Oryctolagus cuniculus: one gene and its partner. The protein of the gene in region 1 interacts with the protein of each later gene in a pairwise test. Links are inferred from orthologs where the notes say so. Each region holds a gene or a part of one and is shown on either strand. Other genes may lie near its edges.

Evidence for each region.
Region 2: the proteins of XRN1 (region 1) and ZFP36 interact in a two-hybrid assay, tested with the Homo sapiens proteins (2 studies listed by BioGRID). The link is inferred for Oryctolagus cuniculus from reciprocal best matches to the Homo sapiens genes XRN1 and ZFP36.

What each region holds. Positions count from the first base shown.
Region 1 is NC_091435.1:139,434,869-139,449,496, reverse strand, and holds the start of XRN1 (5'-3' exoribonuclease 1), read right to left. Parts: upstream 8,291-14,628; 5' UTR 8,140-8,290; coding exon 8,065-8,139; intron 1-8,064. Other genes in the region: serine/threonine-protein kinase ATR, read right to left, coding at 9,018-9,191, 10,971-11,076. UniProt on the Homo sapiens protein: Major 5'-3' exoribonuclease involved in mRNA decay. Required for the 5'-3'-processing of the G4 tetraplex-containing DNA and RNA substrates. The kinetic of hydrolysis is faster for G4 RNA tetraplex than for G4 DNA tetraplex and monomeric RNA tetraplex.
Region 2 is NC_091449.1:15,536,241-15,550,907, forward strand, and holds ZFP36 (mRNA decay activator protein ZFP36), read right to left. Parts: upstream 10,103-14,667; 5' UTR 9,967-10,102; coding exon 9,943-9,966; intron 9,181-9,942; coding exon 8,269-9,180; 3' UTR 7,582-8,268; downstream 1-7,581. Other genes in the region: PLEKHG2 (pleckstrin homology domain-containing family G member 2), read right to left, coding at 63-96, 384-470, 553-645, 976-1,176, 1,363-1,500, 1,706-1,856, 2,098-2,144, 2,274-2,340 and 3 more. UniProt on the Homo sapiens protein: Zinc-finger RNA-binding protein that destabilizes several cytoplasmic AU-rich element (ARE)-containing mRNA transcripts by promoting their poly(A) tail removal or deadenylation, and hence provide a mechanism for attenuating protein synthesis.

The DNA of each region.
Region 1 (14,628 bases):
ATTTCAACTACTAAAAATTTATCCTGCCGGCGCCGTGGCTCAATAGGCTAATCCTCCACCTTGCGGCGCCGGCACACCGGGTTCTAGTCCCGGTCGGGGCGCCGGATTCTGTCCCGGTTGCCCCTCTTCCAGGCCAGCTCTCTGCTATGGCCAGGGAGTGCAGTGGAGGATGGCCCAGGTGCTTGGGCCCTGCACCCCATGGGAGACCAGGAAAAAGCACCTGGATCCTGGCTCCTGCCATCGGATCAGCGCAGTGCGCCGGCTGCAGCGGCGGCCATTGGAGGGTGAACCAACGGCAAAGGAAGACCTTTCTCTCTCTGTCTCTCTCTCTCACTGTCCACTCTGCCTGTCAAAAAAATAAAAAAATAAAAAAAAAATTTATCCTGAAAAATAATCAGAAATGATTAACTTACAAAGATACAAGTGTATAAAAATACTCATAGCAGTATTGCTCAGAAAAGATAAAGGGTGAAAACAATCCAAATGTCTGAAAGTGATCATTGTATATCCATACAATGCAATATTGCACAGCAATTACAAATTATGTCATAGATACATATATGGAAGATAGGAGCTATGGTCAAGTGACAACCTAGGGTATAAAACAGTAAGTACATTATTTGTCCTACTTACAGAACATATTTATATGTTCAACAACACAGAAAAGTTAGGAAGTATATAGAAACAAGATCTTACTAGTAGATAACCTGGATGTTGGAATTTCTAAAAATTGCTTTTCATTTTCAATCTCTATACTATAACTTTTACATTTTTCTGTATTTGAATTTGTTTATAATGAGCACATATTACCTAAAATTCTGAAAATAAAATACTAAAATGTTCTTTCTAGAAAAGAACTATACATATTCTCTTGGATTTCAGATTAGTAAGCAAGAAACAGAATAAGTCATCGTTAGCCACTGCAGTGAAGAAAGAACATGCCAAATTTTGCTCTTTCACAAAAGAGTAATACTGATAATGTAGTTTCTTTTCCCAGAGCTATTATATCTGCAAGTTAAGAAATTTCAAAATTACTTTACACTCTTTCCCTGTGCAACTCTATTAGTCACCCAGTGCTTTCCTATGATTTTAAAATTAATGCCCAAAATGTTTTCAGAATTTCACCATCTTACCCATTCTCACTGTCTTAGGAAATCTCATATTTTTGTTTTTCCCAGATTTCCTGCACTGGACTAGCTTGCTCCCAGTTTTCTCTCTCATCACAGCTCAGCCATTTCCCTAACACATAATCTAATCATGTCACTTCCTTACTTGAATTATATAGGAAAATACAAATCTTAATACTATAAAAGATCCTGCATGATTTGACAGCTATCTTTTTCCACCAATCCCATGTTCTTTCCTGTTTCCACGTACACTTTAAAAAATGACTACAGTAAAGTACTCGGACGGCCTTGAATGTCCTGGGCTATTTCAAACCTGATTTCACAGATGTTTTTCCTACTTACTAAAATGCTCTTTTCTCCTGCTCTTTCTCCCACTGGCTTTCAGGATTTTGACTCATCTTTCAACATCCAGCTCAAGCTTTTTGGCTGGAAGCTTTCCTTTACTCATCCAAGAGACCACACTCTATTTAGCAGTATCTCATATGTGCCTCTCGCACTTTACTTAATAAGGCAATTAGGCATTCACTGAATACTTTTGCTATCCTGCTTTTCAAATCTGTCCTCAGATTTGCATCTTAAGAGCAAAATCTTATTTTTGGGTTTCCAATATGTAAAAGAATGCTTGGCACATTACCAGTACTCAGTATAGTTAATCAGATGGTAATACAGGCACTCAATACAGTTAATCAGATGCTTAACGCATGTAACAGTTCTCCACTACTGAACTATGAGCTCCTCAAAACAAACCAGTGCCTCTGGATTGTCTGTTGTTTAAAATCCTTAGCGAGGGGCCAGCGCTGTGGCACAGTGGGTTAAAGCCCTGGCCTGAAACGCCAGCAACCAATATGGATGCTGGTTCTAGTCCCGGCTGCTCCTCTTCTGATCCAGCTCTCTGCTATAGCCTGGGATAGCAGTAGATATGGCCCAAGTCCATAGGCCCCTGCACCGCATGGGAGACCCGGAAGAAACTCCTGACTCCTGGCTTTGGATCACTGCAGCTCCGGTCATTGCAGCCATCTGGCAAGTGAACCCAAGGATGGAGATCTCTCTCTCTCTGTCTCTACCTCTCTCTGTAACTCTGTCTTTAAAATAAATAAAAAATAAATCCAAAAAAAAAAAAAAAAAGATTCCTTAGCAGACTGCAAAACACAAAGCAGCAAATCAAAAATATTTAATCAATAAAAAATAAAGCTTCCCTTCATGGGAGGTGACATCACATGTAGCTTATCACAATCCCTTGGAATATGTATTTATACTGCTTCAAATTGTGGTTAAGTATTAATATCATAGTATCTAATCTTAAAAACATTAGTTTCTTTTTGTTAGTCTAACTTTGTATCCTACTTAGTATTGTTGCAAAACTCTTGTTACATAAAGCCAAACAATGTTGTTTTGGCTGACTAAAGGAGCTGTCAACAACTTTCCTTTCAGTCCTTTAATCTTATTCATTTTAAGCAATCTCAAGATTTTGCTGCTTCAATTCATTTTCAAGAAAGGAAGTTTTATAACCTACTAATATACTATGCATATTTCAATATATAGTTTCCAAGGGTTATGCTTTACATATTATATAATGTGCTACAGTTGTTAAATTCACTCAGTAAATATTTATTGAGTACTCATTATGTGCCACACATCATGTTGGGGGCTGAGAAATACAGTGAATAGAGTAGCACAATAAACAATATGACTGATAAGACCTCTATAGAACAGCAAATACATTAAAATAGAGATGCCAGCATGTGTTCCCTACAATTTGAAATTTTAGATTTTCCTAAGCAAGAAACATCTTTTAGCATAATGCATTAAAGATTAGTTTTAGAAGCATGGGTATAGTATAATAATCTGAATGCACTAAACTGTACACTTGAAAATGATTAAGATTGTAAAACTGTTATGGATATTTTATCATACTGAAGAAAATAATGCAGGATCTACAGCATACATTATTAATTATTAAAAATATCACTCCCCAAAGTGTCAAAATTGGTGTTCATACATAAACAGATATGCAGTACATCTGTGACATTAAAATTCTATGGAACAGTGGGAGTGATTAGGAAAAAAAAACAAGCCTAAAGAGATTCCTAAAGAGGGTTAATAATAGGGGTAATAATAATGACAACAATAATAAACCACAGTGCTAGAGCAATTCAACTTGATTTCAAATTCAGTTCCAGTATTTACTTTACTAGTGGTTTAAAAACTCAATGTATGTAAAGCATTTAAAACAGTGTCTGAAACATGGCAAGTGCTTAACAAATTTTGGCTTTGGCACTGTGCTGAAATATAATGTAAAAAAGAAGTGCATATACTCTAATAGTTTATAGTTTTAGTTGTATGACTTATTTTGTAAAGGACACAGATGATGGATGCATTCAGCTTCTCTTCTTTCCCAAGACTCGATGACAATAAAGGATTTCATACCAAAGCCTGAGAATGGGAGGTACTGGACAATCACACATTTCTACAAGAGAGTAAATGGCTTTTATTGGTAAAGCAAGGTGCTCTGGAACAAACCCAGAGTACTACATCAGAAGCTGGAACTGCTGTACAACGTCACCGATCCTTATAAGCTGTAAGCTCCAAGTTCTGAAGACACATAAAGGATGACCTGGTGCTAAACTAGAAATGATTATTTGAACAAAATGTCTACAGAATTGTTCTCTCCTTCCTTCTTCAGCGGTGGTACTATCAATGCTAAGATAAAACCATTCACCAATCTTCAACAAAATCAAACAATGTGGTTAGAAGTTTCAGATTTATAAAGCTATTTTCACTTTGTCTTTTCTCTTCTCTTCAACTGTTAGGGGAAACCTGTCCCTAATAAAGGGACTCTTGGGTGAATTCGCTAGTCCTTTTCTTTTTCTTTAAAGTCTAGTAATTTTCCGGAATATGTCTTGGTTTGGTCATCTGAATCAGTATTCTCAGGTACACAGTATTTCTCTCAATATGCAAGGTTTTTTTGTTTTTGTTTTTTAAATTTCAGGAAAGTTTGAATTATAGTTTTAGTGTTTATGTTGCTTTGGCTTTTTTTTTTTTAGTAGCATTATTTGTCTTCTTTGCCTATTGTTATTTGTTCTTTTTCTTGAATGCTTTTTATCTTTTTAATTTTTTAAAAATGTCCTTTTCTTTCTACCCTTCCCCCCACCCATTGTATCATTTATTCTTGCTTTTTATTTTTTCACTTAAGGCCTCATTTCTAAAATGATTTTTTCCATTTACTTCAAATTTTCTTTAGGTTATGTCATCTCATTCCTAAGTTTTCATAGTTTATATATATATGTGTGTGTGTGTGTGTGTGTGTTTTCATGCCTTTTCTTAGTGCATTTTCTTTCAGAAATAGGTTACAGTTTTTGAATGTTTTCCCCGTGTGTTTTATTATAAGCTTATAATATCTGTTAGGATATTATTTTGTTCCTTTTTATAATTTTGTATATGATTTGATATTAATACCTTTCTGTTTATTTTTATAAAACTTAACTTTCTCGAACTTTTTTCTTTTCTTTTTTTAAAAGATTTATTTATTTATTTGAAAGAGTTACACAGAGACAGAAGGAGAGGCAGAGAGAGAGAGAGAGGTCTTCCATCTGCTGGTTCACTCCCCAATTGGCCACAACCACCGGAGCTGCACCAATCGGAAGCCAGGAGCCAGGAGCCTCCTCTGGGTCTTCTCATGTAAGTGCAAGGGCCCAAGGACTTGGGCCATCCTCTACTGCTTTCCCAGGCCATAGCAAAGAGCTGGATCAGAAGCAGAGCAGCCAGGTCTCGACCCAGCACCCATATGGGATGCCAGTACTGCAGGCAGTGGCTTTACCTGCTATGCCACAGCCACAGCGCTGGGCCCCACTGAACTTCTAGAATAAACAAAGGTTTAGGAAAGTCTTAATTTCTTTTTCTTTTCTTTTCTCTCTCTCTCTCTCTTTTTTTTTTTTTTTTTTTTTTTTTTTTTTTTGACAGGCAGAGTTAGACAGTGAGAGAGAGAGAGAGAAAGGTCTTCCTTCCGCTGGTTCACCCCCCAAATGGCCGCTGCAGCCGGTGCTGTGCTGATCCCAAGCCAGGAGCCAGGTGCTTCCTCCTGGTCTTCTATGCGGGTGCAGGGCTCAAGCACTTGGGCCATCCTCCACTGCCTTCCAGTCAGTGGAGCAGAGAGCTGGACTGGGAGAGGAGCAACTGGGACAGAATCCGGCACCCCAACCGGGACTAGAACCCAGTGTGCTGGTGCCGCAGGCAGAGGATTAGCCAAGTGAGCCACGGCACTGGCCGGAAAGCCTTAATTTCACCAGCTCCCTTTTCTGCTGTTTTTGGGTAGTATAAAAACTTGATGGCTTGCTTGTTGGTTTCTAAGATCTCTTAACTTTGTAGCCTCCCTCATTTTTATCTGGATCATCTGTTTTGTCTCCAATGCTTCTTTCATGAAAAAATCTTATTCCAGTCCAAGCCGCTTCTCCAGAGGGTGGGATGTGCTCTAGAATGGCACTGTGACAAGTTAGTTTCAAAGGTTCACAGGACATACACTGCTCCTGCCCTTTGCTCTTTCTTACTGTAGACCTTTCACTAGTCAGTAAAACTCCTCGGACTCAGGCACTGCCCTCTAGTTGGCCAGCAGTCTTTTAGTGAAAACCTCTTGGCTATTCTGGAGTTCTCCTGTTCTCGGTCCTCCAGAAGAAGCCCCAGCTTCCTTCTTCTTGCAGATGTCAACGGTGCCTATGTTGTTGAGAGTTTGTCTTCCCTGGCTGTATTTTGAGGTGTGTGGGGATACTATGCCCCGTGGATTGTTAGAATTGTTTTATGGGTCTTAAATATTGCTATCTAGTTTCGCTTTCTGTTTTTACCTGAGGAATCAGGACTAAGAAAAGGATGCTGTGCCACCACTGCCATTTCACGGAACACTCTCCCTCGCAATCCCTTCTACCCAGGACTAGCTTTGAACCACCGGGACTTACTTAAGCATGGTCATCTTGTCTATAAGCACTGCTTGACAGAGGGTAGCCTGGTAGCCCTTCTGTCCCTTTTAAGCAAACACTTTTGAAAGACATCACTGTGATGAATGAAGTTTTAAAGCTTACTTCAAGTGGAATTTAAAAACAATTTTACTTAATGTGGAATTAAAAAATTTTACTCTCAGTTTCTATCTAGAGTAAAGTTTTCAGAAAACTTACCCTTAGTGCTCATGTCATAAACTGTCTTAGACTATTTTTGTTCCTCAGTAACAAAAAAAGTCCTCAGGATGGAGAGAATCCAAGATATTTTCATTAAACCAAGCTCTGTGCCAAAGAGTGCTGAATAAAAATAGTACTGAGCAGGGGTGGGCATTTGGCACAGTAGTTAAAGCACTTCTTGGGACATCTGCATCCCTTATCCGAGTGCCTGGTTTCAGTCCTAACTCTCCTCCCCATTCCAGCATCCTGCAAATGCTGCGCCCTGGGAGGGAACGGGTGATGGCTCAAGTAGTTGGGTCCCTGTCACACACATGGGAGCCCCAGATTGAGTTCCTGGATCCCAGCTTTTGCCTGGTCCAGCCTTGCCTGTTGGAGGCATTTGGGAATTGAACCAGTGAGTGGGAGATCTTTTGATTTATCTCCTCTCTGCCTTCTCCTTCAAATAAAATTTAAAATAAATAAGTAAATAAAATATTGCTGAACAAATCATGCATTATTAGGTCACTCTGGCAATCATCTTACATGTTCACTTTAGAACTAAAGTGACTGATGTGTGTGTGGCAGGTACTCAAATGTTTGATGGAAGGATCCAGGAAAAGTCAAAGTAAGTTGTATGTCTTCAGTGTACTGGTGTCCTTTTAAAACTCTCTTCTCAGGAAATAAATGCATTCCTAAATCTAACTCAATGCACTGTTCCAAATAAATTAATCATAAGCCAGTGTTTTGGTATTTTTGAAAGCCTTTTCTCATGTACCAAATCTGATTGGAAGTCAACAACAAACAATCCTTTGCAGAAGTTTAAGTCTTCCCCCAAGTTTACAAATATTTTCAAAAGATCAAACCATTATTTTACAGCACGATGGCATTCACGGAGTTACTTCCCTCCCCCTATTATTAACACAGCGCTACTCATGACAACTAACCCAATCAGCCACATACATTTGAAACTGCTTTTTTTCCCTTGTAAAACACAATACAAACAAAAAGAGCTCTCAAATTCACCGAATGGGGCCGACATTAAAGTTTCATCCAAAGTCTAGCTTATCTATCGGACAACTGCTTTCTCTTCTCTTCCCACAGTTGCAAAATACAAACTACATTGTTGGAATCTGCATTGCCCTGGTTTCAATACATGCCAAATATTCGTAGTAGGATCAACGCTCAAACAACCCCTCTCTCCTCCCCAAAGTCTCAAAATAACGCCCGCCGCACGTCCAAGTGCGGCTCTGGCAACAGCGGAATTGGTGTTTCTTTGGGATACCAGAAAGAGTAACAATCGGCATCATAAACGTGACCCTTCGGGCACGTCGGAAAAGTCCAGGCGTGGAGGCGGGGTGGGATGCAGCTCCCGGCAAGGAAAAGTAAACAAGGTGATTCAACCGCGGAGGCGGCTGTTATTGTTCGTAGACACCGCGGCTTCAGGTGGGAAGGGGGGACGGCCACACCAGCTTCGCAGCCCCGACAGAGGGAACAGCGACCTGAAGCCCCCCTGGGGAGGAGCGGGGAGCCCCATCAATATCGTTCCCTCCCCGGACTTCATCTCCAAGGCGCGGAAGGCCCCGCCGAGGCGGGAGAGCTGTCAGAACAGCCCGAAGCCCCGCGCGTCTGTCCCCAATTCAGATCATCCCGGGGTCTTCACACCTTCTTGGGCTGCCTTCGCCACTCGTCGGGCCGACAACAAGCGAAAGGCTAGAAACCCCGGGTCTCGGAGCGGAGGGAGGGCCGCGCAGCCCCCAGTGCTCAGCCTGCCGAGCTACCGCGCATCGCTCACCCACCTGATGCTCCTTCACCACTTCGCTGAGGCAGGGATACCGCTCCGAGATCCATCGGTAAAATTTGGGGACTCCCATTTCGACCGTCAACACTAATTCTAGTCAGGGACAAACCGAAACCAAACGCCCCGCCGGGGCCTACGCCGCCGCCTCCGGACGTCGCTCCGCCGATGACAACACACCGGCCGCGCGACCATAGAGAGCGCCCGGCGGGCCTAGAGCGGCCGGATTCGAGGCCGGGCCCGGGGCGGGACTCAGCCCCGCCTACCCTGGCCGCCGCCGGCGCCGTGGCGTCACAGTGCTCCTAGCGGCTGTGCCGCGGCCGAGGGTCTGAGGAGTTCCGAGGTCAGCCTTCTGCGTTTCGGGAAAGGCCAGTCGTGCTGGGGGGGTTGAGGTGATTTTTAAAACTCCATAGAATTTTAAGTACAGCTGTTTTCCATGACCACGGGTTTGTACATTCTTTATGCCCACGACACGGCAGGCAGCACGTTTAAATTACAAAATGTTTCTTTAGTTTTCTTAAGATTTTTTTCCCCCTGTGTGTCATAGGGAAAACATACCAGAGTTTTAAGTGAACATAATGATAGCCTGTTTATAGTTCTCTTACAAGCACAGTACCGTGCTCACTGTATTTGATAGGATTTTGTTCAAATGAATTCCTGGGCTAACTAGTACTTTTAAAGGGAAATTGATAAAAGTTGTGAAACGAAATTAGGCTAGACTGTTTCTTGCAAATCCATTTGACACATTTCTCCACGTAATCAAATACACATGTTAAGAAATAAGTTTTATTTCTTAATAACAACATATATTATTTAAAATACTATTCACAATTGGGCAGAAGTAATACCAGTTGCTCTAAGACAAAGAAACATGCGGTACTTTAGAATTGGATACAGCCACAGATGAATATCAAATGCATTAAAGTCAGGTTTAACATTTGAAATAATTTCATTTCACATATATGGGGTCCAACCAAGGTACATTTGGCAGAGTAAGTTCGCATCAGTAGCCTCTTGGATAAGGTAATGCACATGTCCTTCAATAGATAATGGCAGCCCTGTCACTCTATTTCGGGTCTTGATTACACCCTGTAATCGCTGCTCGATGTCAAGAACATGAGTCTTAGCCTAAAAAGATGAAACAGAAAATCATTAGAGAAAAGAATTCAGTATATGAGGATGTTGATAATTTCTTGATATTTATAAATGCTGACACTGTTTTGCTGATCAATACCTCTTTTATAGGGGCTGATGTGGAAAAAAGTAAATTTTTTATATGAATTTTTGAGGATGTCAATCTTAATTCAAAATGAATGGCTTGGACATGTTTCTGTATTACATGAAATGGCAGGGAATTCTTTGAACATTATATTTCTAGAGAAATATTTTTAAAACTTTAATTTGAAAGGCAGAGAGGAAGGGATGGGAAGAGAGAGAGAGAATTCCCATCCTAGTCTTACTCCTCAACTGCTTCTAACAGCCAAGGTTGGGTTAGGCTGAAGCCAAGAGCTGGAACTCAGTTTAGGTCTCCCATGTGGGCAACAGGCACCCGACTACTTGGGCCATCACCTGCTACCTCTCAGGGTGCATGTTAGCAGGAAGCTGGAATGCAGGATGGGGCTGGAACTTGAACCCAGGCACTCTGATATATAAAGCAGGCATCCCAAGATGCAGGGTTAACCACTGTACCAAATGCCTTTCTTGAAAACTTAAAATAAATCTGGTTTGAGGGGTTGGCATGGTTGCACAGTAGGTTGAGCCATGGCCTACAATGCTAGCATTCCATAGGAGTGCAGGTTTGAGTCCCAGCTACTCCACTTCTGATCGAGCTCCCTGCTAATGTGCCTGGGTAAGCAGAGTAAGATGGCCTATGAGTGCTAAAGCCCCTGCCACCTCCATGGGGGACCTGGATGAAGTTCCTGGCTCCTGGCTTTGGGCTGGCCCAACCCTAGCTGTTGTGGCCATTTGGGATGGGAAAGTGATCTCTCTCTCTCTCTCTCTCTCTCTAATCTGCCTTTCAAATAAATAAATAAATCTTTTTAAAAATCTGCTTTGAAACTGTTTAAGACCTAAACATTTGATTGATATTCTATAATAACAGCAACAATGTTCTAATGCCTAATATTTAGGCAATGTTAGTAAATGAAAATAGAGTTCTAAGTGACCTATTTGGAATTCTACAAGTCTATAAAGAAAGCATATCAGATGTTATTAGGAAAAAGGTCCTCAATCTATTCTAACTTATAAAAACAACTATCTGTAAACTTGAAGATTCAATGAATTTTATAAAAGATTTATTTATTTGAAAGGCTGAATTAGAGAGAGGCAGAGAGAGAGAATCTTCCATCTGCTGGTTCACTCCCCAAATGGCCACAACAGCCAGGACTGAGCCAGGCCAAAGCTAGAAGTCAGGAGCTTCTTCTGGGTCTCCTGTGTTGCTGCAGGGGTCCAAGGACTTGGGTCATCTGCTGCTGCTTTCCCAGGCACATTAGCAGGGGAGCTGGATCAGAAATGGAATAGCCAGGACACAAACCAGCACCCAAATGGGATGCTGGTGCTACAGGTGGTGGTTTTTACCCATTAGGCCATAGCACTGGACCCTCAACTAATTTTAATAAGGACTGAGTCATTACATTTGTCAAGATGGATTTTGGCACACTGGCATCATATTGAAACTGCTCTATAAATGAGGGTAATTTATGCTCACTTTTCTCCAATCTGCCTCGTTAGTTGCAAGTTCTCTGGTTAAATGCTAACATTAGTAATGACAATAAAACGTAAGATATTGTCAAACTATACAACTAGGTTTCAGAGAAATTAATAATCACCAACAGGTTTGAGAATCAGTTCTCATTTGTAGAGACGTACAGTGTCAGCTCATATCAAGCTAGACGTATTTCTACTGACCTTTTCGTTGAGGACTTCCCCAGTTTCGTTCAGTGATGCTTTGGAATGCCCTTTCACTGGTTTACTCCACTCCACAAGAGGATCATGCAGAAAAGTCTTCAAGACACTACAATTAAAACAAATAGCATGCTACTAATACAATGTTATCTTTGCAAAAAGAAACCTTGTTATAATCTAAGGACTAAGTAAAGGATGAGAAATTAATGGTAATAGTCTTTTTTTTAAAAAAAATTTATTTTATTTATTTGAAAGAGTTACAGAGAGAGCCAGAGCCAGAGGTAGAGCCAGAGCGAGAGCGAGAGCGAGGGAGGTTCTCCATCTGCTGGTTCACTCCCCAAATGACTGCAAGGGCCAGAACTGAGTTGATCTGAAGCCAGGAGCCAGGAGCTTCTGAGTCTCCCACATGGGTGCAGGGGCCCAAGGATTTGGGCCATCTTCTACTGCTTTCCCAGGCCACAGCAGAGAGCTGGATCAGAAGTGGAGCAGCCAGGACTTGAACCGGCGCCCATATGGGATGACAACACTGCAGGCCTGGGCTTTAACCTGCTATGCCACAGCACCAGCCAATACTCTTACAATACCTTAGTTTATTACTTTAAAAAAAAAAAAAGATTTTATTTATTTGAGATGTAGAGTTACAGAGAGAAGGAGACAGAGAGAAAGAGATCCCCCATCCACTGGTTCACTCCCCAAATGGCTACAACGGCCAGAGCTAGGAGCCAGGAGCTAAGAGTTCCTTCAGGGTCTCCCACATGGGTGCAGGGGCTCAAGCATTTGGACTGTCTTTCACTGCTTTACTGGCCATAAGCAGAGAGCTGGATCAGAAGGGGAACAGCTGGGACACGAACATCCCCATAGGGAATGCCAGCACTGCAGGCAGGGGCTTAGCTTACTGTGCCACAATGCCGGCCCACTGTACTGCCTTTTTAGTAAGGTATATGAAATTATTGTTGTGGGTGAAGAGAGGGTAAGGGAATGATGGGCAGAGAAGACTCAAGATAGTAGACAGAAGTGTCTTCTGGAGGTGCTAAATAGAACAAGATGAGTTTTGTATGTCATCTAAAATGTATGCTATTAACTGGTAAATAAATGTTTATTGCATGAATGAATTTCATCTCCTGCCATGTTTCAGTGGTCATATAATACCTATTGCCACCTAAAGACCCAGCCTAGATCTTTATTTTGTACTCTAGAAGGAAATCTAACTAATCATGAGAAATACCCTCTTGGATATGTTCCAGGCATCCCAAACTCAGTATCTTCAAAACAAAACTCATTACCTTTTCCCAACATTTCTCTCATATTCCTGAAATCAGGAAAGAACAATATCATTTGCCCATTTGTCCTGGACAGAAATCTAGGAATCATCTTTGTTCCTCTTCCTCCCTACCTACCCTTATCAACTGGAGAAGCTTGGAATCGGGCCAACATGGTTAGAGGGCCCTTCAGGCCTGGATTTGTGTGTTTAGGGAGCTTTTGCTCCTCAATGGGCTCTGGAATACCAAGTTCCAGTGTTGCTCTGGCTTCTTGGTTCCACCAGTTACACTTTTGTATTTTCTTTCTTTTGCATATGTCTAGGTTGAGTGATATGATTCTCTGCACTGGGTTCTCTCTGCACATGCACAGCCATGTCTAGAAACAGGTGGAACAGAGGTTCTTGTGTTCCCACGAGAAAAGAAATTCAAATGTGAGACATAGAGATCAGCAGTAAGCATGAAAGCAAAATTTAATGAAGAGAATACATGTGGCAGGCCAGGTAGATATCTCGACAAAGAATGAGAGCCTCTCCATTTTATTTTTAAATTTCCCTTTTAAAAAAACTTCTAAAGGCTTCTCAGGGCAAAGTTTAAATGTGAAAATATGCCTAAAGTGGAGCCTTCACCATGTAGAGCTGTTCCCCTGTCTAGTATCATTATTAGTATCATTTTTTTTGAAAAATACTCTCAAGAAAACAGTGCAGTAGGCCCCTCCCGGCCCCCATAGTGAGTTGGCTTTTGGTGGTTTCAGTTACCCATGGTCAACCATGGATAAACAATTTGCAAGTGTATGAAATCTCATGCTCTTTCACTGTCCTGCCCAAGATATGATTCTTTTGTCTTCTGTTTCCACAGCACATACCAGACAAGCTTATCTGTTACTTAGTAGTAGTCTTAGTTACCAGATCGATTGTCATGGTTTCACAGTTCTTGTGTTCAAATAACCCTTAGTATACTTAATAATGACCTAAGCCACAAGAGTATTGATGCTGGCAACTTTATTATAGCATATCACTATAATTATTCTATTTTACTATGTGTTATTATTGTTAATTTATAAATAAAACTTTATCATAGGTATGTACATATAGGAAAAACCATAGGTATATAGGGTTCAGTATCACTTGTAGTTGCAGGCATCCACTTGCAGTCTTGAAACATATCCCCTACTGTAACAGGAGGGCAACTGTATCCCACTTCTCAGACAGGCCATGCCTTCCCTTGCCTTGCTACTTCTATCACAGAACATACTTTTCCCCTTTGCAAGATCAACTCTATTTATTTATTTTTAAAGTCTAAGCTACTTCCTCCAGAAATTATTTCCTAATTTCCCCAGACTGACAGATAGACTCCTGGAATATGATTAACAAGATGAAACACTTCCTCTTTCGCAGAATTTGACTTTGCCTATATCTAACTAACCAGTGTACTCTGCCATTATATCTGCTAGATACCTTTTAAAATAAAGAAGGCAAATAATTTAGCTTAAAAGGTTCTTTAAAAATCTGCTCTCCACAGCTAATGTCATGTTTTAATGTGAAAGGCTGACAGCTTTACAAGATCAGGAACAAGACAAAGACGTCTACCCTCACAATTTCTATTCAACATTGGTCTAGACAAGGTAATTAGGCAAGAAAAAGAAATAAAAAGTGAAATTGGGAAGAAAGAATAAAAACTATATCTGTAGTGCATGTGCAGAGAAAAAAACCTTAAGGTATCTACAGAAATAATAATTACAGCAGAGATGAGCAGGGTTGCTGGATATAAGGTCAGTAATACAAATATCAGTTGTGTATTTATACTCTTGCAACGAACAATTAGGAAAATTAAGAAAAAAATGCAATTTAGGACAGAATCAAAAGCAATAGGGGTGAGCACTGTGGATGCCTAACTATGGCTAGGGAAGCCTGTATGCCATATTGCTGTGCTGCTTAGAATAATGCATCCTGGGAGGCAATGGATGATAGGTCAAGTACTTGGGCTCCTGCCATCTACATGGGAGACCCAGATGGAGTTCTAAGTTCCTGGTTTTGGCCTTGCTCAGCCCTTGCTGTTTTGTGCATTTTGGGGATAAACCAGCTGATAGAAGATATCTTTTATTCTCTTTGTCTCTGGCTGTTGCTCTTCCAGGTAAATGAAAAGAAGTAAAATATTTTTATGGGGGCCAGAGTTTTAGTGCAGCATTTTAAGCCGGAATCTCATATGGGTGCTGGTTTGAGTCAAAGCTGCTCCACTTCCAAGTCAACTCCCTGCTAATGCACCTGGGAAAGCAGCTGAAGATGGCCCAAGTCCTTGGGCCCCTGCACCCATTTGGGAGACATAGAAAAAGCTCCTGGCTCCTGGCTTCAGCATGGCCCAGCACCAGCTGTTGCAGCCATTTGGGGAGTGAACTAATGGATAGA
Region 2 (14,667 bases), on another chromosome or scaffold:
CCAATAACCTACTTTCTCGTGCAGGTAACCCCAAGTGCTCCCACCCCAAGGCCCCAACTCACAGTGCAGGCTGTTCTCAAGGAGAACTTGTTTGGCCTGAAAGACAGAAGGAGGAGGGCTGGGGGGCTGGGCTCCCAGCAGGTGCAGCGAGGCGTGGCTGCTGACCTGATCCTCACCACAACCCTCGGGAGGCGCTATTGCGCTTCCAGGCCCCGAGAGGTGGTCAGGGCACCAGACGGGCGCCTGGTGGGGCGGGGGGGGAGGGGGTGTCAGACCCAGGCAGGGCAGCCTGCACCTCTAGCGTCCCTGCACTCAGGGGGCCTGCGGGGACCACGGCAGGGGTCCCTGGCACGTGGAGGGCCCAGCCGTGGCAGGAGCTGTACCTTGGCAGGGATGGAGGCGGGGTGGTTCTCAAAGAAGAGGCGCTGGAGGCAGTGAATCCACAGCCTCTTCTCTTCCTGGTTCTTGGCCTGGCAGGGGCGGGGGCGGGGGGAGGTGGAGTCAGGGAGGCGGGCTGAGGTCCTGCCCTCCTGGAGACCCACCGCGGCTTACCTGGAGCAGGTGCCTGTGCTTGGGAATGGTCAGGTCCGAGACTTGGAAGCCTAGGGGGTCTCGCGGATTCTCACTCACACTCAGGTTGCAGCACTGGGTGAAGGGGCGGGAGGGGCAGCAGGCTCAGAGGCCAGGTGCCCTTGTGGGTGCAACTGCATCCCTGCCCCCGGCAAGATGTGCCCACGGGGTTGTCCCCTACCCCCTTCGACCTCCTCCCCCGGGCAGATCCCTCCTGCCCCCCTCTGGAAGAGATGCTCTCCCCCCCTCCCGCCACCTCCCAGGAAGACACTTGCCTTGTGGGCAAGTCCAGGGCCCACCCGTCACTACCCGGCCTTGCCTCTGTTCTCGAACTCAAGAGAACGTGGCCCTTTAAAGTCGGGGTGCCCCTTCCCACCCCATCCGGTCTTCAGCTCCCAAACTCACGAAGATGTGGCCCTTGTAGGTGTATTCCGGCCCCCGGCGCTTGGCCACCAGCAGCATCCGTGAGAAGAGGAAGAGCAGCCGCTCACCCCCGCGGAGCCGGGGGCCGCCTCCTCCGCCCCCTCGGAACGCGCCCTCCAGCACCAGCTCCCCGAAGGCACTGAGCTCCGGGCCGGTCCAGCCGCTCAACCGCCGCTGCACTTCCTGCCCGGGGCCCCGCCAGGTGCACCAGGCACAGACAGGCACAGGTGGGCGACACCCACAGACATGCCAAGAAGCAGGGGTTAGCGATCGGGGCCACGCTCGCCCTCCTCCAAGGCTGCCTCTGAGAGAGTGCCCCCGCCTCACTCACCGCCCTCACCCGGCCCGCCCAGCCCGCCCTGGGACCACCTGGAGGCGAGCCGCGTGCTCCTGCTTGCGCTTCATGTCGTTGATGTACCAGGCCACCGCCGTCATGGACACGATCGCTTCCTCCACCATCTCGCGGCCCCCAGCACCCGGGCCCTCTGCCCAGTGCTTGCCCAGTTCCTGCAGGGCAGCCACAGGGCACACACACAGGGAGGCTCAGAGACAGTAATGTAAAGGGAGGGGCAAAGGCGGGGGGGGGGTCCTGAGCCGGGCCAGGCCCCACACCCCACAGGACAGGCAGGCGAGGACGCGTCTCTGGCTGGCCTCACCCACTCACGGCCAGTCCTCCCTCCAGATGCGTGGGCTTGGCCCCCGCCCCGCTCACCTGCAGCAACAGGTGGTACTTGAGGATGCGCTGAACCGGCTTCAGCAGGAAGCTCTGCAGGGGCAGCGAGTGGCGGAGCTGGGCCTGGCGCTCCTGCAGCCACAGGGCTGCTGGCGGAGACAGCGCCAGCTCCCGGAGCAGGGCCAGGGAGCTGGGGGCACAGCACACAGGTCAGCGGGGGCTGCCGGCTCCGACTGACAGGCAGGGCTGGGAGGGCTCAGGGCACGGCCAAGGTTCAGGAGCAGTCGGGGCGGGGACAGGGGCAGCTAGGGAGAGGTCACGGCGTGGCAGGGGCTGGAGCTGGGTGGGCCGGGGGGCAGGGGCTGGAGGCTGGCCCGCACAGCAGCTCATGGCCACAGCCTGGGGCTCAGCAGGGGCTCCGTGCCCCTCACCTCGGGTAGTTCATGCAGTACAACGTGTAGATGTCAAAGTCCTCGCTCTGCGGGGGACACGGGCGTCAGGGAGACCCCGGCCCCCGGCTTCCTGTGGCTCCCCTCCAGCCTAGCCCACGCCTGCTCTCCCCCTGCCCGAATCCCACCCCAGGAGGGCTCCCTGCACCTGCACTCACCCTCTGCACAAAGCACTGGGCGATACCTCCTGCACTGCTGCTGCCCTCCAGGTCCTCCAGGAGCTCGCTGCGGGGGGAGGGGAGGTCTGAGGAGCTGCCCCACCCCCACGACCCTCTGTGGGGGACTCCGGGAGGCTGACATCCCAACGGCTAGCTGGGCCGAGGGGCTAGGGGGCTGCCAGGCTCTCTCGAGGGGGTGCCGTGTCCCAAGGAGGGGTCCTCTGATGGGGGCACCGTGTCATGACAAGGAAGGGGCAGCATGGGGGGAAGGGGTGCTGTTGACCTCCAGAGCACTGAAGGCGCCAAGATCCTGTGGGATGCTCAGAGGGCCTGGCCCTGGGGCCCAGCAGTCTCCTCACTAGGGTGACTGACCATCCTGGGCTGCCCGGGACAAGGAACTCTCAGTACTGCCCCTGGCAAACAAGGACAAGCCAGCCACACAGACTCGCAACCACAGGACCCACAAGACTCCGGGATTCATCGGGAGCCCAGGCCTGGCACAGCGCTGAGCCCCAGCCTGACGCCTGCGCAATGCCTGATGCTCGAACCTCATCTGGGCCCTGCTGCCCCCCAGGCCTCGCCCCGTCCAGCCCAAGGTGTGGCTCAGGACACAGCCCAGCCTCCCAGCACTCGCCCCAGCCACTGCCCTGCCTGCCCCTCTGCCCCTGACCTGCTGAACTCGTAGATGTCCTCGATGTTGGCAAACAGCGTGCCCAGCTGCTCCACGCTCAGCCCCAGGACCCCACCGTCCAGCAGAGGGCCCAGGTAGTCCTGTGGGGGGCGGCTGAGGTTACGGGAGAGGGGCAGGGAGACCCCGGACCCCCACACCCTCGGCTGCCCGCCTCACCTCCACGATGCTGCGAAGGTCCCGGACGTAGGCCCGCTCTGTCTCCACGATCTCGCGGGCCACACGCTCCAACCTCGAGGGTTTCACTGACGCTGGGAGCCCCACAGGCGACAGATCCAGGCGGATGGGGGGCCCTGGCGGGGGCTCAGGCCTGGAGGCTGGACAGGCCGGAGGGGGCCCCAGTGCTGGGTCCCCCTCAGAGCCCACAGTGCTCAGGGATGTGGAGCTCCCAGACCCTCTGGGGGAAGCCATGGCGGGGGCTGCAGGGGTGCAGAGCAGGGTGTCAGGGCATCTCCGCCAACACCCCTTCCTACAGCCCCCACGCACCCCCACCCGGCCTGCAGCTTTCCCAAGCTCCCTCCTCTCCTTCCCTCCCCCGGCCCCGCCTTGGTCCAGTTCTGTCTGGAGCCCTCTTGTCCCCCGAGCCCCAGCCAAGCTGACTGACCTTCATTAACTTGCCCATCTGGCCCTGTCACTCTGGAGCACGACCCCGTCCGTGCCCTGAGGGCACAGGCCAGACTCCTGGACCTGCAGTGTGGCCACGGCAGACTCTGCAGCCAGCTCGCGCCGCGCCGCCGCGGGGTCCCGCAGCCTGCACAGCCCACCGCACTGAACCTCCTGGCGCCGCAGCTCGCAGCCTGGTCTCACCTCCGAGCCTCTGCGTGTACTGTTCCCTGCGCGTGGACTGCTTTTCCTTTTTGTCTCTGCCCAACTCCGCGTCCTCTTCATCTCTGCCTCTTCAGCTTGGATGTCCCCGCCTCCAGGAAGCTCTCCCGGAGCCCCCAGACCTTTCCCCATCACAGCCCTGACCACCTGTCGCCTGCTCTCCTCCCTGTGCGCCAGGGATGCCCCGTGCACGGCCCAGCGTCTCAAACGCGGGAGCGAAGGCCCCCTGGCTCCGCCCCCGGCTGCAGGCTCACCTGTCCGAGTCTCACACTCAGCTGCGCAGGCACACACCTCCTCGCTGCGGCCACACCCGAGGCGGAGGCTGGGTTTGGGCGGGCTCGGTCCCCGGGCTCCCTCGGGCATGGCTGAGCGAGCGGCTCAGCAGCGACCTGCAGAAAGACCCCCCGGGATGTGGGACACGGGATCCCGCAGGCGCCTCTGCCGCCCAAGCTCTAGCTGGGTGGTGGAGGCTGGGACGAGCAGCAGCCCCCGGGAGCGATTGCCGGAGGAGACACAGGCGAAGTGACAGCCGAGAGGGGGCCGGGGAGGGAGGAGAAGCCGCGGAACGAGATGGGGGAGCGGAGACAAAGAAGGGAGCCAAAGCGCCGTAGAGGCTGCGGCCGGCGGCTCCGGGATCCTGGGAACGCTCGGGCTCGGCCTGGAGCGCAGGGCGAGGGGCAGGGCTGGGAAAAGCTGTAGGCGGGAGGCCGGGGGGTCCCAGGGGAGGGCGGAGGCTGGGGGACCGGATGCCAGGGTCCCGCAGACGGCTCCCTCCCCCGCCGAGGGCCGCGCGCCGCCGGGGCGCTGGCCCGGAGCCCTGGACGCCCCCGGCCGGTGCCGCGGCGCCCCCCGCCGGCACGCCCCCCTCATTGTTCCGCGGCGCCGCCCCTCCCCCACCGCGGGGCCCGCGCCTCCCGCTCACCTCCCCGGGGCCGAGGCTGCCCGGGTCCGGCCCGACCCCAGCGCGCTGCCCCGGGGGGGGCTCTCGGGCTTCAGCCACCAGAATCCGGGGTCTCCCGCGCAGTGGGTGCCGGCGGGCCCAAGTTCTCGGTGTCCTGAGTTGGGGGGCCGGGAGCCTCGACTCTTGAGTCTCGGATGGGGACCCTGGGTCTTCCGCGTGGGGCCGTGCGGGACTCCCGAGTTCCCCTCACACTAGTGGCGGGAGCGTAGGGCTTCCAACTTCCAGAGTCCCCTCGAAGTGGTGGATGCTGCAGCCCCAAAGTGCCGCGCTGGGGCTCTGGAGGGCCCGACCCCAAGTTCCTCCAACCCAGAGGTCCTGGGCGCGGGCTCCTGGGGACTGCTGGAGGGAGTCTGTAGTTCCGGGTCCCGAGTCCTCCAAACAGGGCTGCGGGACGCTCGGTCTCCAGGGTCCCTCGGGGGACTGATGTCGCGGGCCGCCGGCTCCCCCAGGTGGGGGCGCTGGATACCTGAGAGCTTCTAGTCCGGGTGCCGGGCACCTGGATTCCGAGGTCTCTACGGACGCGGTGCAGAAATTCCGGATGCCTGGGTTCAGGACTCGGGGCGCCTCAGGCTCCTGGCTGGATGGCAAGGGGGATCCCACGGCGGTGGCGGCGCCACATCTGGGGCGGGAGAGTCCGGACCCAGCTGTGGGGCGGGGGGCGGTCGCCCCGGGCTTCCCCTCCCCCCGCCGCCCGGGCGCATATCCTGTTCCCGCCCGCGGGGGGGAGGGGCCGCCTTCCGGCCGGCCCGCCAGCGAAGGGTTAAGACCCCGCCTTCCCAGCAGCTGAATATTCATGAGGAGGCGCGTCCCCAGGCAGGCTACACGCCCACATTCCAGGAGCCCCGCGGACTATTTCCTTTTACAGCGAGGGCCTCCGAGGCGTGAGAATTCGTGACTGGGCACGTACTCTCTCCTATTGGACAGCCAGACGGTTTCTATTTGCACATGCAATGCTAGGCGGAGTTGTCCAGCCAGGTCACGTGGTCATGAACGACTGAAGGACTCCGCGGCGCAAGGGTGCGGCCGGAGCTCCAGTGGCGCAATCGGTTAGCGCGCGGTACTTATATGACAGTGCAGGCGGAGCAATGCCGAGGTTGTGAGTTCGATCCTCACCTGGAGCACTTTTAGTTTCCCCGCCAGTTTTCATAAACTTATATATCTCATAAACCAACCCGAACATCTACATCACTTACAGAAACGAACATTTCCATCTCCAGAATTTTCGGGCTGGAAACTCGCGTGGGACTTGGTGACAGTCCGCCGAAGAGTTCTGGGCACAGAGTGGGGAGGAGGTGCTGTTTCCGTACTGGCCACCAGGGGGTGGTGTCACCTCTTGATTAGATGCCCTGTGCAGCAGATTCGAGTCTGCAAATCTCAGTTTGACACTTGTGGGTCCTCCGCACACTGTGCGGTAGGGCTCTTCCTCTTTCTCCCTTATTCAACTTGTCTTTTCCTCTCGACTTCTTCCAACGCCTGAACATTCAGTGTGTGCCTGACTCCGCTTAGATGCAGGTGGTAACAGCAGTGAACTTGACATCCTAGGGAGGAGGTCACCGAAAAGGCCACGTTTGTGCAAAGACCTGGAGGAGGGGGCGAGCCACGAGGACAGCAGGGTCTGCGCTCGGCACAGGGGCAGCCAGTGCGGAAGCCCTGGGTCCAGGCGGGTCCCATGTGTCGGTGAAGTGAGGGGCAGGCTAGGAGATGGCCAACCCTGAGTCGTGGCCATCCAGCGCTCAGGACTTCTGTGCGATTCAGGTGCCACACCGGCTTCCTTTGACCGGCTGGTGGGGGGTGGCCAAGCGCCGTAGTGGCCGCGAGCTGGGGTGTCTAGGGACTCCCAGGCACTTGGTCAGAGCACGGGCAGCAGGCGTTGCGGGCGGCCTCTTGGGTGTGGGCTTTTCGGGAGAAGAGGCGGAGAGCCGTGCGGTCTCCTTTGTTCTCTGCGACCGGCTCTGCGCTGCCCGCCGCCGAGGGGCCACTTCCCTTCTCCTAGGCCGGGACAGGGGCTCCTTCCCACAAGGGAGCCAGGCCGTTTCCTGGACGAGGAGTCCAAAGGTCAGCGGGTGCCGGTGGGGAGGATCGAGGCGGCCTGGGGAGAAGGCGCAGAGGAAGAGGAGGGAGGCGAACAAAGGGGGAGGGGACGGAGGGGAGCCGGGGAGCAGGGGCCGAGGGGCGGCGGGGGCCTGGGAGGCGTGGGGAGGGGCGGGGCGGGGCGCTGACGCGGGGCCGGGCGGCTTCCGGGCGCGGGGCGCCCCCTCCCCCCGGCCGGCGGAGGCGCCCGACGCCTCTTGCCTTGTATGGTCCGAGGCCGCCGCCGCTCGGGCCCCGCCCGCACGCGCAGGCCTCGGAGCTCGACCCCAGCCGGAGCCGAGGCCGCGACTCGCAAGGCCCGGAAATACCTCGGGACCGGGACGGCCGAGGCCTCCGGTTCTCAGAGAGCAGGGCCCAGATCTCAGGGGTCCCGAGGTTCTCGGGTCTTGAGACGGGAGCGCCCCCTCCCCCGCACTCCGAGCCCAGCAGACCCCAGACTCCACGGGCCGTCCCCGCCCGCCCCGCGCCTGGCGCCGGCACATTCCGTCCTCTCGCCGCCCCGGCCCCGTGGGGACGGAAATGTCCCGTCCCCGCCCGCTCGGGCCTAGCAGCCCGGCAGGACGCGAGTGCAGCGTCCCCAGACGCCTCGGGAACCGGCTCGCCCGGCTCCCCCCCGTGACCTCACCTGGCCCCGCCCTCTCAGGTGAACGGCGGGCCTGGTGACGTCACTTCCTGCCAGGTAAGCGCCGCAGGGCGGCTGGGCTCTCGCCCCCTCCCCGCCCCGGACAGCACAAAGGCCAGGGTTCCAGTTTACACGCCGGTTCCTTTTATTTAAAAATTCTAAAACACAAAAATAGACTTTTAAGGTAACAATATATATTACTTAATATATTATTATAGCATACTTAATAATTATACCAGTTTCCAATATTACAAAAAAGAGGAGGAAAAAATACAAAGGAAGCAGACGACTCAATATATATAAATACTATAAAACCTTATTAGAATAAATAAAGTCGTCATAAATAAAGGGCCCGTCGGTTGGGGGAGGGGTTTGGCAACGGCTTTGCTTGCTTGTGGAGGGAAATTTGAGCACCAGGAGTCTCCCTCGGGGAGGCTCCACTCACCACCAGACGCTGGGACCTCAGGAAGAAGTGGGAGGGGGCGCGCAGGGGGCTACTATTCACAGCACATGAGATTCCAGGAGATTCAGACGGGGTGCAGGTCGGGGGGGACGGGGCTCACTGTCTCCCTCCAGTATGCTACATCTTCAAAGAACCCCAGAGAGCACTCTGTCCCCCAACACCGTGAACACTGAGCTTGCACACCGGGGACCTGCCCCAGCGTGGGGTCAGGGGTGAAGTTAATGCATTTTGGAATGCGGGGGAGGGAGGGACCCACTTGAATGAATTAGGATCCCTTCCCCACAGGCCCTGGGCCCAGCGGAACCCACGGCACACCGCGGCGCCCCTCTATCCAACGGATCTCCGTCACTCAGACACGGAGATGCGGTTGAAGATGGGGAGGCGCCTGGGGGCTGCAGGCGGCTGGGGTGGCCCGAAAGCTCCCGTCTCGAAGACAGGAGAGTCGGACCCCCCCAGGCTGCTGCCGCTGCTGGCGTACTCATCCGGGTCTGAGCCCAGGGAGTGCGCCGAGGGGCTCCGGGCCAGGCCACCCAAGGGCCCCCAGATGCTGACAGGGTTGGCCCGGCGGCAGGAGGGGCAGCAGGCGGGCGTGGGGTCCCTTCGAGCCACGGGGGTCCCAGGGGCGGCAGAGAAGGCCGAGGGTGAAAGCGGAGCGTCCCCCGGTGGGGGCGGGGAGCTGGGTGGCGAGAAGGAGCAGGAGGACAGGGAGGGGCCTGCGAGGCCCGGCGGCGGAGGCGATGTCCTGCGGCCGGAGGGCAGGCCGGAGAAGCTCACGCTCTGGCGCAGCACGTGGGGGTGGCCGGGGGCGGCCAGGTCCTCGCTGGGGTTGTGGATGAAGTGGCAGCGGGAGCCGTAGGGACAGCGGCCCTGGAGGTAGAACTTGTGGCAGAGTTCAGTCTTGTACTTGGGGTGGCGATTGGCTTGGCGCAGCTCGCCCAGGCCATGGGCAAACTGGCATTTGGCGCCGTAGCGGCAGCGTCCACTCTCCGAGAAGGTCCGACACAGCTCAGTCTTGTAGCGGGAGGAGGTGGTGGGGGTCGCCGTGGGCGAGGTGGGCGAGGGCGCCAGCTCCGGGCCCGGGCGGGGAGCCAGGGGTGCGAAGCCAGGGGGTGGCGGCACCCAGCCGCAGCTGCGGCCCTCTACCAGGCTGGTGGAGCGGCCCGGCAGGCGAGAGGTGATCCCAGCCGGGCCCCAGAGTCCCGAAGGATCCGTCCCTCCGTGGTCGGATGGGGGGTCAGGGTGCAGCGACACGAGGCTCTGTGGGAACAGGGATCGGGTTAGGACACCCGCAGACGCAGGGCGAGGCGCGCCCCAGCTGCAGGGCACTTCAAGACCTTGCCAGGCCGGTTTGTGGGCTCCCGGCCGGAGCCCCACCCGCCCACGGCAACCGGGATTTCCGGAACCCAGCGGCGATCCCGGTTCAGGGGCTCTGCGTTGAGCCACGGCTGGAGGAGGAATCCCAGCTTCCCGGGAGGATCAACAGGGGACCCTAAAGTCAGGTCCCCAACTTGGAGCCGCTGGGCCTTCCCGGATATGAGGAGCGCAGCGGGTTAGTTCTCCAGTTTCACAACGGGAGGAGCCTGGCAGAGCCAACTCGGGAGTCTGGTCTTTGGGGTTTGAGTTCCCGGAGAAGGCGGGTCGAGGCGTCAGAGGCAGAAGTCGGCTTCCCCGCCCCGAGACTCAGCCCCAAAAACGCCTCCGCGCGGCACCGCGCCCTCGGCGACTACGAGGGGTGAGCCAGGTGCGGCGCCGTTTCCGCCTCCGACCAGCCCTGGTCTGAGCAAAGTTTCCCAGCGGCCACTCCACGGGGCCCCCACCCAAGTGCCGGCCGGGCCGAGAGCCGGCAGGCGGGGGCTCCATTTTTACTTCCCACCCCCCACCCCCGCCCCCCGATAATCAGGTCGGTCCGGAAAAGGCAGCCGGGGGCCGGGGTCGGAGGGTGTAGCGCAGAAGAGCCCCCCCCCCCAGCTTGGCAGGGAGGCTAGCGTCCCGGCGCTGGGGAGTCCGGAGGGGACTCACCTCGTAGATGGCTGTGAGATCCATGGCGGCGCGTTTGGCCCTGAGGGATCGGCCCAAAGTCGGAGCGCTGAAACCAGGCTGCGGCTACCCGCGACAGACACCTTCTTATAGGGCAGTGGGGGCGTGGTCGAGAGGGGCGGGCCCAGGGCGGGGCGGGGCCAGGAGGGGCGCTTCCCGGACGCGCGCCCCCGGCGCAGCCCGACGGGCCCTGGGCTAGTCCCCTTCCGCCCGGCTGCCGGCCAGGACGGGGCCTGCGCGCGGCGGGGCGGCCCGGAGGGGAGTGCGTGGGGTGGGGCGCGGGGCGGGAAGGGCGTCTGCCTGCCCAGGTTTCAAGGCTAGAGACGGAGGCCGGAGAATGGAACTGGGACACGGGTGGGGGCAGGGCTGCCGGAGCAACTGACAAGGGCAGAGGCCGAGAGGGCCTGCGCGGCTGACGGCGCGGGGGGTGGGCAGAGGAGAGAAAAAACCGACGAGAAGCAGAGGGAGGGACGGGCTCACACAGCGAGCCAGAGGCCGGCAGGTAGCTGGAAAGGGAGAGACAGGGAGGAAGAGACCCGGGGTGTGTGTGGGGGTGGGGGGGGGAACATGGGAAACAGACGTACACAGGGAGTCGCAGGGACACAGAGACAGGAAGGCATAACGCTGAGAGAAAGGGAGAGACACGCAGAGCCGTGCTGAGAGAGGGTGAGATGGAGGGAGGCGCAGGGAGAGACACCAGAGGTGGAGAGACACAGGCAGAGATTCTACACCGAGGGAGGAGACGACCCCCCCAGAGAAGTTCTGAGGCGGGAGCGGTGCGAGCGAGGGGGGGGGTCGCAAAGAACCCCCAAGAGGAAGAATTAACAAAGAAACAACACCCCCCCCCCCAGGCCCAAAGTCCACTCTGGCCAAGTGCAGGGAGGGAAACCATTCTGCCTGATAGGGCATTCCCTTCTCTGACACCTGCTGGGGCAGCTCCGCCTCGCTCCCAAACCGGAGACCCAGGCCTGGGAGCCGCCGTCATCGAGAGGGGGTGGGGTCGCAGACACCCGCGGGGGCACTCAGGGCTGTCTCCGCTTTCCACGCGCTCACACTGCCGGACACCCACGTCAGGTCACCCTCGCAGGCCCCCAGCCCGGGAGCAGCAGCCGCCCGGCCGCGGGGCCTCTGCCGGACGGCGCCCAAGATGGGACAGGTGGGCGGGCCCTCGCTCCTGGGGAAGACCGCCTCGCCCGAGCGCTGTTTTGAAACGCAAGAAGTGGGTTGTCCCCAGGTGCGGGCCGGCCGGGCTGCGACCGCCAGGGGTGCCCGGGGAGAAGCCTCGGTTGCCCGGGCTGCTTCGCCATGTTGGCGAGTCTTTCATAATCAAAGCGCGGCCCGCAGTGAGAACTCTCGGCTAAGATCTGGGGGGGGTAGGGGGTGCTGGTTTACTTTCCCTCCCCCTCCCCCTCCCCAAGGGGGTCTCGGTGAGCTTGCTGCCCGGTGAAAACACGGGGTAGGAAGTCCTCGCCACGGCGGTCACAATGGCGCAAAGTTCACTGTTGGGGGCCGCGGGCCCGTGCCGAGGCGGGGAGATTCTAGCGGCCCCGGCGCGGCGGGGAATCCCTGTTGCGGCGCTCTCTGGGGCCAAGGGGCCTTCCTCGGCCGGTCCCGTGAGCGGGGCGGGCCGCGGGCAGCTCTGGCACGGTCGCAGCCTCCCGCTCGCCCGTGACTCACCCGCGAGGGGCGGGGGAGGGGGGCTTCCTGGAAGCCGTGACGAGGAGGCTCAGCCCGGACGCCCGGGTTCCTCTCGTAACCAGGGCTCCCATCTCCTGTAAACACAGCCCCAGGACTGGGGCGGGGGTGGAGGACAGGGGACCCGAGGCTCCTGCCTCCACGCTGGCGCCCAGTCCCGCGCGGCTGCGGTGCGTGTGCCCGCGCGAGGTGGGGGGCGCTGCGCCCCGGGGTCCTCGGGGCCGGGCTGGGCTCTGGCCGCGATCCTGGAGGAGGGATTCCAGTTTCGATTCCTTGGAGACAGGGAACATTTCCCATCCTTGAGTCAGTCTGGCCCCCTCCCCTCTCTCAACTGCTGAGTCATGGGCCTCAGCGCTGGACGGTGGGGACCCGACCCCTCTTGAGGAGTCTGGGGGCCGGCGTTGGTGCGCGAAAGGACCGACTCAAACCCCGTGGACTCACGCAGCGAGGCCTCCGCCTCAGCTTGCTAGTTATTCCAGGCCCAGCCCCTCCTCCCTCAGACCCAGGGGTCCAGGCCCAGCCCTCCTCCCTCAGACCCGGGGTCTAGGCCCAGCCCCTCCTCCCTCAGACCCCGGGGTCCAGGCCCAGCCCTCCTCCCTCATACCCTGGGTCTAGGCCCAGCCCCTCCTCCCTCAGACCCAGGGGTCCTGACCCAGCCCTCCTCCCTCAGACCCCGGGGTCCTGACCCAGCCCCTCCCTCACACCCAGGGGTCCAGGCCCAGCCCTCCTCCCTCAGACCCCGGGGTCCAGGCCCAGCCCTCCTCCCTCAGACCCCGGGGTCCAGGCCCCAGCCCTCCTCCCTCAGACCCCGGGGTCCAGGCCCCCACCCTCCTCTCAGACCCGGGAGTTCACGCTCCTGCCCCGCCTCCCTCAGGGCCCGGAGTCAAGGTCGCCCCCCCACCCCGGGCCTCAGCGTCTCAGACTAGAAGGAAGTTCACGGCGGGACTCCTCCCCACGCCCCACGTAGCCAGCGGGAAAATCCGCGGCTCCAGCAGCGGCCGGGAATCCCCTGTGGAATGACGGTGGGAAGGGGGCGGCCTGGGTCCCCGCGGGGCGTGCGCGCCTGCTGCAGGGGTGCGCGCCCGCTGCGGGCCGCGGAGGGGGGCAGGGAGAAGGGGGCGGAAACCAGAGAAGCTAAAAATACAGCGAGCACTTCCGGCCCGTGGGGGGGAGGGGAACGGAGAGCAGAGTTTCCAGAAAAACAAGCGGGGACGGGAAACGCGGGGGTGTGAGAGCCGGTGCGAGCGCACGGGCGAGCCGGGGGCCGTGTACTCGCGCGGCACGTGTGCGCGCCTGGCGGCGTGGTCTGGGCGAGGGCCGGCCGGCCGGCGTGTGGAGCGTGGAAGCAGGCCCCTGGGGGCGTGATGTGCGGGGTGCCCGGGCAGGGGTGTGCAGGGTTTCCCCGGGTGATCGGCCGTGCCGCGTGTGCCTTAGGCGTCCCGGGGAATGGGTGTGTGGGGAGGACTCAGTAAGTGCCCTGCTGCTGTGGCTGCGGCGGCCGTGGGGAGGACGCTGGCTTCCGTGCCCACCTGCACATCCGTGTGCAGCTGTGACCACGGACGGATCCGGAGTGACTCAGCGTGTGTGACCGCGGGCAGGTGCCTGGCCCGGGGGGAGGCCGAGGGGCTGCACGCAGCAGCTCTGAGGCTGGCGGTGGCAGCCGGAGCCCTCGGGTGTGTGATTGGTGTTCACGTGCGTGTCTGTGTCGTTGCTTGCGTCTGGGAGCCCGCATGCGCCCGAGAAGGCGGCGGGCCCGCGTCTGTGTGGCCCAGTCACAAGGCAGTGGAGCCGGTGAACTTTGGTTTCTGACGTGAGCTGCGCGTGATGTGGAGGGTGGCTGGCGTGACCCCCCTCCGTGTGGCTGTTTGAGTTCCGCCTCCGAGGGCAGAGCCGACGCACACTTGCACCTGAGAGGCCGGGAGTGTGCACCGGCCTTATCTGTGCCCGCTGATGAGTCTGCTGCAGATGTTTGGCCGACAGCAGGGCTGAGTCAGCCAGTGATGGGCAAAGTCTGCGATGGGTGAGAGATAGCGGGCTAAGTGGTGGTTACAGGGCTGTTTGTGGATTCGCATGGTAGGCTTGTTCCCTGTTTGTGGGACTCAATGGGATGGGGTCCCTAGGAGCAGCATGGTGGCGGATGACAGGTTCTGCTGGTCTGCTGGAGCCCAAGGGCGGCTCTGCATCCCCTGTGCTCACCAAAGCCCCACTCCTTTCCCTCCTCCCACTCCTGCCTCAGGGCCTTTGTACTGACCCTGGGTGGCCACAGCACTTACTCCTCTCCTTCAAAGCTGCTGTAAGATCACCCGACACTGAGGCTTCCTTGACCTCTGTGAAAGATTAGAAAAATCCATATTAAAAGAAAACTTGTCATTTTTTTTAACAAATCGTATTTGGAGGCCATGAGTGCTCATGAAACTTACTACCCAACGAAATTCTCAAACTGTTTTTATGAAAAAAGTTTTTTGACACCCCGCCTCCCCCCAGCTGTCACTGCCCAAATGCCTGGGCTGAACCTGAGGGCTCAATCCAGGCCTGGGGGGTGGTGGCAGGAACCCAGGGACCTGAGCCATCGCCACTTCCTGGTGGGGTCTGCATTAGCAGGAAGCTGGAGCCGGAGCCAGAGGCAGGCACAGGACTAGGCAGTCCCCCAGCTGGCTGCTTAACCATTAGGCCTGAAGCCCACCCCTGGCTTCTCCAACTTTTAATACTTTTCAATAAACCGAACTTTCTTCTCCATGTGCAAATGTTGCACTTGTTTGGATTTATTCCTCAGGGCCTTGTCTTGTCATCACCACTCTCGTCTGACCTCACTGCTCTGCCTTTGTCTGGGGACTCCTCGCAGTGTGCTATGCTGTGCTGTCATCCCACTTCAGCTCACGAGGGCATGGGCTCCAGGACCAGGGCTTGGCCTGCACACAGATGTGCGGCGTGAGTGACCACCACTTCCTGGTGCACCCCATGGTGCCTGCTAGTGTGCATCCATCAACCCATGGCCTACAGTTTCTTTCTTTT